Caenorhabditis elegans: one gene and its partner. The protein of the gene in region 2 interacts with the protein of the main gene of each other region in a pairwise test. Each region holds a gene or a part of one and is shown on either strand. Other genes may lie near its edges.

Evidence for each region. The genes of interacting proteins can lie anywhere in the genome.
Region 1: the proteins of crb-1 (region 2) and apx-1 interact in a two-hybrid assay, tested with the Caenorhabditis elegans proteins (one large-scale study listed by BioGRID).

The regions. Positions count from the first base shown.
Region 1 is NC_003283.11:3,208,578-3,213,191, reverse strand, and holds the start of apx-1 (Anterior pharynx in excess protein 1), read right to left. Parts: upstream 3,004-4,614; 5' UTR 2,964-3,003; coding exon 2,687-2,963; intron 1,513-2,686; exon of another isoform or gene 1,101-1,512; coding exon 977-1,100; intron 924-976; coding exon 802-923; intron 1-801. UniProt on the Caenorhabditis elegans protein: Probable ligand for lin-12/Notch and glp-1/Notch receptors and involved in the mediation of Notch signaling. Involved in the lin-12/Notch pathway signaling of cell fate in vulval precursor cells (VPCs), acting redundantly with dsl-1 and lag-2.
Region 2 is NC_003284.9:17,410,967-17,415,692, reverse strand, and holds the start of crb-1 (uncharacterized protein), read left to right. Parts: upstream 1-1,678; 5' UTR 1,679-1,843; coding exon 1,844-1,889; exon of another isoform or gene 1,890-2,001; intron 2,002-2,441; coding exon 2,442-2,727; intron 2,728-2,773; coding exon 2,774-2,873; intron 2,874-2,919; coding exon 2,920-3,070; intron 3,071-3,569; coding exon 3,570-3,712; intron 3,713-3,757; coding exon 3,758-3,853; intron 3,854-3,922; coding exon 3,923-4,364; intron 4,365-4,454; coding exon 4,455-4,594; intron 4,595-4,661; coding exon 4,662-4,726.

The DNA of each region.
Region 1 (4,614 bases), on a different chromosome or scaffold from region 2:
CCGGCAAATCGACAAATTGTCGAAAATGAAAACTTCGGGCAAATCGGCAATTTCCGGCAAATCGGTATACCGGCATTTAGCCGCCCGCCCCTGGTTCAAAGTATTGAAAAATTAGGCCCAATTTGAAAATTATTATAATTTTATTCGACAGGCGCAATTTTTCCATAAAATGAAAATCGGAAAAAAATCGCGAAAAACCCCCCAAAAAGCATAAAATGGCAATTTTCACAGGAAATTCCCAAAAATAAAACCGTTCAATCATTTTTCAATCGAAACGTCGTCGTCGCCGCCGCGACACGCCTCCTATTTCGCGCACAATTCTTTTGATCTCTGAGAGTGCCGCCAAATAATCATCACCCCACCCAACTTGTCAATTGACCAGATGTGTATGTGTGAAAAAGCGGCGGCGGCGGCGGCGGCGGAAGCTAGGGGGGGGGGGGGGGGGTTAATGGATCGAAACTAGTTGGAGAATTGACGCGCAAATATCTCGTAGCGAAAACTACAGTAATTCTTTAAATAGCTACTGTAGTGTCGATTTACGGGCTCGTTTTGAGGAGCCCGTAAATCGACACTACAGTTGTCATTTAAAGGATTACTGTAGTTTTCAATATATATTTTGCGCGTCAAATATGTTGTGCAATACGCAGAATTCTTCTCAGATAAAAAGCTTGTGTCGATTTACGGGCTCCATTTTTTTGCCCGTAAATCGACCCCAGCGCTACAGTAGTCAATTACTGTAGTTTTGAGATATTTTGCTGCGCGTCAAATATGCTGCCCAATACGCAGAATTCCATCACCCACGATTTGAACAATCTTCACCAGACCATCCGGCGGAGCATCGGCGGACTCCGTGTGTTGAGCACTCCCAGTGAAGCTTCGCATTCGCGATACAATATCGATTGCAGCGTTTTCCGTGGTAGTTTCTGGAATTTTTGGCTACTTTTCGGAATTTTTTTTCCGAAAAAAAAATGCTCACGAGCTGCACAAATTCCGCAGTTGAACCGTCACGTTGAAGCCACGAGAGGTCTCGATGACGATCGGAGCGTCGGAGTTCCATTCCGTATCGGCGGCAGGACGGTGGTGTTGGAGGGCGAGAATTTCTGGAAAAAGAAGAATTTCCAGATTTTTACAACGCGAAAATTTTAAAACGGTTCTAGAATGTTTATTACGGTAACATAAAATTTTGAGAATGCGTACTGCACAACATATTTGACGCGCGCAAAATATCTCGTCGTACCGAAAACTACAGTAATCCTGTTAATGACTACTGTAGCGCTTGTGTCGATTTACGAGCCCGATTTTTGATCGGATATCAAAATTAAGCCCGTAAATCGACACCAGCGGCGCTACAGTAGTAATTTAAAGGGGGGATACTGTAGTTTTCGCTACGAGATATTTTGCGCGTCAAATATGTTGTGCAATACGCATTCTCAGATTTTTGAGTGTTTCTCGTAATTTTGACTTTTCTGAAGCAGGGCTGCCGTTTTTTTTTTTTTTTTTTTTGGTTTTTTCTGGCAAAAATAAATTTTTTTTTCGATTATGTTTTGGCAAAAAAAAATTTTTTTTTTGTTTTTTTTTTTGCAAAAATTGATTTCTCGGTTTTTTTTTGGCAAAAAATGGTTTTTTTTGTTTTTTTAATGGACAAAAAATTTTTTTTTTTTGCAAATATGGAATTTTCGGTTTTTTTTTTTGGCAAAAATGGATTTTTTTGGTTTCTTTTTTGGGATTTCCGGCAAGAATGCTTTTTTTTTGGGGTTTTGTTTTTTGCAAAAATGGAATTTTTGGTGTTTTTTTGCCAAAAATAATTTCTTTGTTTTGTTTTGGCAAAAATGGATTTTTTTTTGGTTTTTTTTTGGTTTTTTTATGGACAAAGAAAATTGATTTTTTTTCGTTTTTGTTTTGGCAAAAATGGATTTTTTTTTTGGTTTTTTTTTTTGCAAAAAATGAATTCTTTGGTTTTTTGGTAAAATATTGATTTCTCGGTTTTTTTTTTTGGCAAAAAATGCATTTTTAGGGGGTTTTTTGGTATTTTTATGGACAAAAATGGATTTTTTTTGGTTTTCTTCTGGCAAAAATGGGTTTTTGTTCTTTTTTGGCAAAAATGGAATTTTTGGTTTTTTTTTTTTGCAAAAATGGAATTTTTATTTTTTTTTTTAAACAAAAAAAATTAATTTTTTGGTTTTTTATCGTTTTTTGGACCAAATTGTTATGTTTCAATTGGTATGATCAAAAAATCTAAAATTTCTTTTTTTTTAGGGTTTTTTTTTCGGAGAAATCTGATTTTTGTATTTTTGGTCCAAATTTGAAACAAGAAATGTTGTTTTTGGTCAAAAAAATTTTTTTCGATTTTTTAAAAACTAAAAATTAAAATTTTCAAATTTTTCGAAACAATTTTTTTGTTGATTTTTTGAAAAACTGCTCAAAATTTCAGTCATTTTTCTTCATTCTGGAATAAATTTATATGGTTTCCAATTTTTTTTGAACATTTTTTTCCGATTTTTCCTGAAAAATAGATTTAAAATTTTCCGTAAAGGCCGGCCCGGCCCCGGGCCGGTAACAACCGTTGCAAAGACCACTAGCAGTCCATCTGATAACACTTGTCACACTATCTTATCACCACGGGTCACCATCAAACAACACAAGGAGAGCAAGAGGAAGTGTGGGCTCTTTTTCCTTTGAAACCTACCATTACTCGTTGGTTCGATAATTTTGAGGTGAAGATCAATGCGTTCGCGGGCTTCTCCGTGATATTGTCCGGTGCCGAAGCGGAGAGGAACTCTTCGTTGAACTTTTCGCGCCAACGATAGATCATCGGGTGCCGCGCATTCGAAATTCGCGCACACCGTCGGCTCGACGAGCACGGTTTGTGGGGATGAGATGAGCAGCTCGATGGTTCCGGAGCCGGTCGCGGAGCTGATGATGCAGAGGAAGATGGTGGTGAGAAGGGAAGAGAAGTTAGTCATAGTACAGGATCGTGTGCTAGAAGGGCGGGTGAAAGAACCTGGAAAATTAATGGAAAACTGAAAAATGAGGTCGATTCAAGCTTGAAAAGTATTGAAGAGCAGGGGGGAAAAACTGTTATATGACTTCAAAGCGAGGCGTGTCCCATTACGGTTTGATCTACCAAAAAATGCGGGAATGAATTTTTTGCCCAAAAAATGTGACGTCAGCAAGGTTATCAACAATGCGAAATCAGTTGAGAACTTTGCCGCATTTTTTTGTAGATCTACGTAGATCAAGCCGAAATGGGACACTCTGACCCCACGTGGCGTCAGAGTGCCTCATTTTGGTTTGATCTACGTAGATCTACAAAAAATGCGGCAGAGTTCTAAACTGAATTCGCATGGTTAAGAACGTGCTTTTGAGTGACAAAAAAAGTACAGAGGAGCAAGAAAAATCGTGGCGTCAAAGTGTCCCATTTTGGTTTGATCTTCGAAAAATGCGGGAGAAAAGACGCAGACTTTTCAACTGATTTCGCATGGTTAAGAGTGTGCTGACGTCACACTTTCAATGGGGGGAAATTCCCGCACTTTTTGTAGATCAAAGCGCAATGATGAGACACTTTGAGTCCACGTGGAACAGGAATTAGGAACGAATTTCTTTAATCACAGGAACGGATAACAACACTAACTGAATGAAACAAAACCGGCAAAAAAAGCAATTAGCCAGAGGCATATGATATTCCAATCAAAAAACGAACACACTTCGAGTAGTAAGAAGACACAGAAATCGAATTCTAATTGTCTTCTTCGGGCCAACGCGCACTCCTCATTGAAACAGACTGCTGCCGCAGACACGGAAACCGGCGAGATAGAGGCTCCGCCCTTTCGAACCAGCCAGCTAGGACCCAATGAAGACTGTGTGTGTATGTGAGAGAAAACGGAGAGACGCAGACGCAGAGCGGAGGTGAAAACAGCTGTGAACATAGGCACACACATAAACACGAAAATTATTGTATATGAGCATAGTTTCGAGCAACAAGTTGCGATAAACAAGGTCAAAATTGTACAGGCTATCCCATTACGGTTTGATCTACCAAAAATGCGGGAATTTTTTGCCCAAAAATATGTGACGTCAACACGTTCTTAACCATACGAAATCTGTTGAGAACGTGGCGCCTCTTCTCCCGCATTTTTTGTAGATCAAGCCGAAATGAGACACCATGACACCACGTGATTGTGGCGAATTTTATCGGTGGACTCAAACTTTACGGTTGAGCGAATTTGGTTGAAATTTTGGTTAATTTTACAGTTTATACTTAAAAATCGTAAAACTTTTAAAAAAATTACACAGAATTGCTACCAAATCGTCTTCAAAACGAGACATCAGTGGCTCTGGTAGACAGTAGGCAGGTTTCAGGGCCTGCCTGAAACCTGCTGCCTACCTCCCGCCGCCTCTTTTCTGCATTTTGGAGGGGAATTCACAAGCCCTAATTCAAGCCAGGCAGGCAGGAAGGCGTTTTCCTATAGCAGAATTTCCAGATTTTTACAACGCGAAAATTCCAAAACGGTTCTAGAATGTTTATTACGGTAACATAAAATTTTGAGAATGCGTACTGTGCAACATACTTGACGCGCAAAATATCTCGTAGCGAAAACTACAGTAACTCTTTAA
Region 2 (4,726 bases):
GCAAAGTCCCCAGATAATACCATAAGTAGAACGCGATCCGAGAAGCTAGCCACAGGGGTGATTTTTTTTCGTTGCTAATTTTTTTTTGCTTTTCAAAATTGTTGTTTTCCGTAAGTACAATTTTAGCATTTTTTTTAGGAACGACAAAAAATCGTCAGATCAATTTGTAATTTGAAATTTGAATCCAAATAATCTCTTGGTTTTAAAAATTTAGCATTTCAACAAATATCAACACAAAAACTAAGTTTAATTATTCAATGTTTATCAACTGAATTTTTATTAAATTGAAAAAAAAGTTGTTTTTAAAAGTTGTTTTTTAAAAATTTATTTCATCATGTTACCGTGAATTGAAAATTTGAACTTTTCAGTTATTTGAGAAGATTCCCTATTTTGAAAATGTTGGCAACATATTTTTGAGCGTAAAATGTTCACAATGAACTGTAATTTTTTGATTAATCAAAAATATATATCAGAATCAATTTTAAGGTTTGTGACCTCCAACATTTCCAAAAAACATAACTGATAGCATAACAAGTAAGTTCAAAAACTTTGCGTCTCTTGAGTATTATTGGGAGGTAGTTTGAAATTCCCCAACTATCTTTGAAACATTTGAGAATTTCACTTTTTAAAATTATGTAATTGATTCACTTGTTGGTATTTTTCCATGAAATTCCGACAGTTTGCCATTTCCAAATGCGCGGTCATTTGTCAACTGTGCTCCGCCTTGGCCTTCATTTCTACTCAATTTTCTCAGCAAAGTTTGTCCCGTCTAAACGGAACTACTAAACTTTTTTGCTTTTGCCGTTTTTATTTCGGAAATTTTTATTTGAATTTTCATCCAAATATTTTCTAAAAACGTATTTCGATATCGGTAACCCCAGCAAATCTCATTTTTCCGCATAACAGGACAAACACACTGTCCTTTTCGCTTCACTTTTTTGCTATCCCCTTCTTTTTTCCGTGTGCGTGCCGGGTGAAACTAGTCTCATCATTTGAAAATTGTCTGTATAATATCCGACCTACTACACATAAAATATATAGATGTTGGAGATGTTGACAGCCGGAAATTGTTTGGAACTAATTAGCTGCTGAGGGTTTTTTGCTGTAATTCAAGTGGACCCAGCACTTTTTGAGTATTTTGAATTTGTACTTACGCATAATTAAGCTTGTTCATTCTTATTTCTTTTAAATAAAAAAACTCCTGAAATCACAATAAAACAATATTGTCGCTTGTTATGGGATAAAACCCCATATTTCAGCTAATTTTATTAACACATACAAGTACATTAGGAACTAGATGATAATAAAAAAAAGTAGGAAATATTTTATCAGACGACAATTAAAAGTAAAATCAAAAGCATGAGCTGCCAAACTGAAACGAGCACAAAAAAAATGTCGAAATTGTACAAATACTCTCGAAAACCTTTTTTTTTAACTAAACGCTGAATTTCTATGTTTTCACTTTTTATAAACGTTTGAAAATTTTGTATATCTTCAATCACTCGGTCAACTGAAACTTTCCCTACTATTTCCAAATTACCGTCGAAATGCCACAGGGCAGCTAGCTGACCCCTGGCAACCACGAGATTCCCCCCCCCCCCCCCTTCATCTCTCTTGCCCGTGTTTCCTCTTCCGTTCTAATTACCTGCTTATTATCCGACAATACACCTGGCTCTCTAGGACCTTCTCTTTCTCTCTCGCGTCACTCCGGCAGCTAGCGTGTGCGGTACAGAAGAACAATCGTCAAGCGGCAAACTACCTTTTTTACCTCCAAACACAAAACAATTCGACTAGCTGCCGTCATTACTCCTATTTGGGATCTGCATTCAATGATCTACCACTCATGAAATATCAACATTTTCTCATATTTTGTACCCTGGTTACAAATGGTAAGTCTACTACTAAGATATGATGTCATTCGGTTTCACAGACTGATTGATCTGAGTGTGAAAAGTTTTGGTTTAGACTAGATGAGAGATAGAAATGTATAACACGAAGTTTAAGTGAACATCTCAAAAACTGAAAATCTAATTTAAATTCAAAATATGTTTGAGAAAGTTGATTTTGGGCTTTTAAGTGTTGAGCATTGTTGTATCTGAAAACTCTCAATTTTTGCAGCCCATCTCTTCTTTGATTTTGTAATCGTTTATATATTTTCAACTAAAATTGTAAACAAATAACTATTAACATATTTGTCGGTTAACAATTATTTCAGAAGCCCAGACCTTTTCAATAAAACACATGACTTCTTTCTCTGAAAATTAAATGAAGCTCGTATATTTCATACCAAAAAACAAAATAAATTTCTAAATTTTGTTTTCCAAAGATCAGTTCCAATCTAAAACTTGGACAAAACTACCAACTGACTTTTTGCAAAAAGTAATCCATCATTATCATTAAGACAGATGAATACCACAAGCTGTCACTAAAACTCTTTTCAGCACTATGTAACAGAGCGTGCAGTCGGAACACATGTCTTAACGGCGGAACTTGCACAGTGAACGATGAGACGCGAATGTTTCAGTGTGAATGTCCGAAGGGTTTCAGTGGGTTGCTATGTCAGGACAACTGCTCTTTGCACTGTCTCCACGGTAACTGCGTGAAAGGAACGTTTGGCGAAGAAACTTGCCAGTGCTCCGAAGGATGGATGGGCTCACTTTGTGATAATCTAGTTACTGATGATGACACTGCTCAAAAGTGCTCACCGCAATGTGGCGATGACGAAAGGTATACATGACCTTGTGCAAACCAAAAACATGTATGTTTTTTATAGATGCACAAAAGGAGCCGACGGATCATACATTTGCCAGAGCAACGAGCCGTCTTGCGCAACACACACTTGTCAGAATAACGGCACTTGTGTTGCCGAGAACGTGAGTGACTTGAGTCCAGAGTGATAAAAACCAATAGAATGTTCAGGGAAATGTAAAATGTGCCTGCCCACCTGGATTTGTTGGAGATCACTGTGAAACTGACGAGGACGAGTGCAAAGAAAATTTTTGTCAGAATGGAGCAGATTGTGAAAATTTGAAAGGAAGTTATGAATGCAAATGTTTAAAAGGATTTTCTGGTGAGTTTTGGTTTGAAAATTTGGATGGGAAGGATGAAATATAGTTTTCCAGTAGACATAATTGTGAAAAAAAAACCTGAAGTTTGAAAAACGTTTAGTTAGATTTTTTCAATAAGACTAGTGTGAATTTGATCAAAAATCATTTATAAGGTGCTAAATGACCAAATGTCATAAAAAATTTTCTAAACAATTCGGGGATTTTTTATCTCGAGTCAAAAATCGCATACATGTTTTTGCCACGTTTCGACAAATCTGAAGCATTGTCATGTTGATCCCTTTTGGCTCGAAATAAAATCATTTCTTCAGGTTGTTCAAAAAGTTTTATTATGATATTTGGACAAATACCCAGTTTTTTTGCAATACTTATAGTTTTCAACTTTCTTATTATTTTCTCAATTTTGTTAACGTTGCTGATTTGTTGAGAGTTTACATTCGAATAAATTATTTTATAAAAACAAAAGAAAACTAAGAAGAAACATGTTTTCACAATTTCTTCTAGGTAAATACTGTGAAATCCAAGACAAGAAACAATGCACTTCTGATTATTGTCACAACAATGGTCAATGCATTTCGACTGGCTCCGATCTCTCCTGCAAGTGCTCTCCCGGGTTTGATGGTGCATTCTGCGAGCTCAAAGCAGAGGTAACACCAATTTTCTCACTGTTAATTGCTTGTGTTTTTTCTCAGGTTAACGAGTGTATATGTGAAAACCCGGCTCATGTTTGTTCACTCGTAAACGGGACGTCAAGGACAACGCAATGCGAGTGTCCTTCGGGGTTTATGGTACGTTTGACGAATAATCTGGGCATGTTCGGATATGGGTCCCTCGCGCAATCTATCGTTTAATTGCAGGGTGCCGACTGTAAAGAGTTGCAAGCTCGTCCATGCGATCGTGAGCCGTGTCTTAATGGGGGTCACTGCGTCGACGACGGGCAGAATCTCTTCACCTGCTTTTGCCTTCCCTCTTTTACCGGCATCTATTGTGGAGAGCCTGTTGATTGTCTGGTTAATGGATCGGATTGTAAGAATGGGGGAAAGTGTGTGTTCGCGTTAGCCGCAACTACCTGCCAGTGTCCGGAAGGATTCAATGGGTCCAATTGTGAAATAAGTAATTCATATCGGTCACATCCAACATGCAGTGACATTCGATGTTTGAATGGTGGAAGCTGTAAACTCGACGCAGAAGGGGAACCGTTTTGTGTATGTGAAGAAGGGTTTGATGGACCGTTCTGTGAGCCAAAATCTGGATGCACAATTAATCCCTGTCAAAATGGAGGAACTTGCCAAGATGCAGGTAATAAGAAAAAGAATAGAGTTTTTTAGGGAGCTGTAAATTAATTTTTGTGCTGATACTGATACTCTTTAAAGTTTTACAATTTTTCAGATGGACAATACTTCTGTCATTGCACATCAGGCTTTGGTGGCGTCCACTGCGAAACGGTGGATGAGCCTTCAACCCCTATTCCCACATTAGGAACGTTTCCATCTTTTACAACTTCTGGAATCGACGGATTCTCTCAGAGTGTGAGTGTTTTAGTTTTTTATTCAAAATTCGTTCATAATAAATACTTGCAATATTAAAATTTTTCAGAAAATATCTTGCGAAGACTGCGTCAACTCATCCAATTGTCTTGACGTCGAATCTGGGCCAGTTTG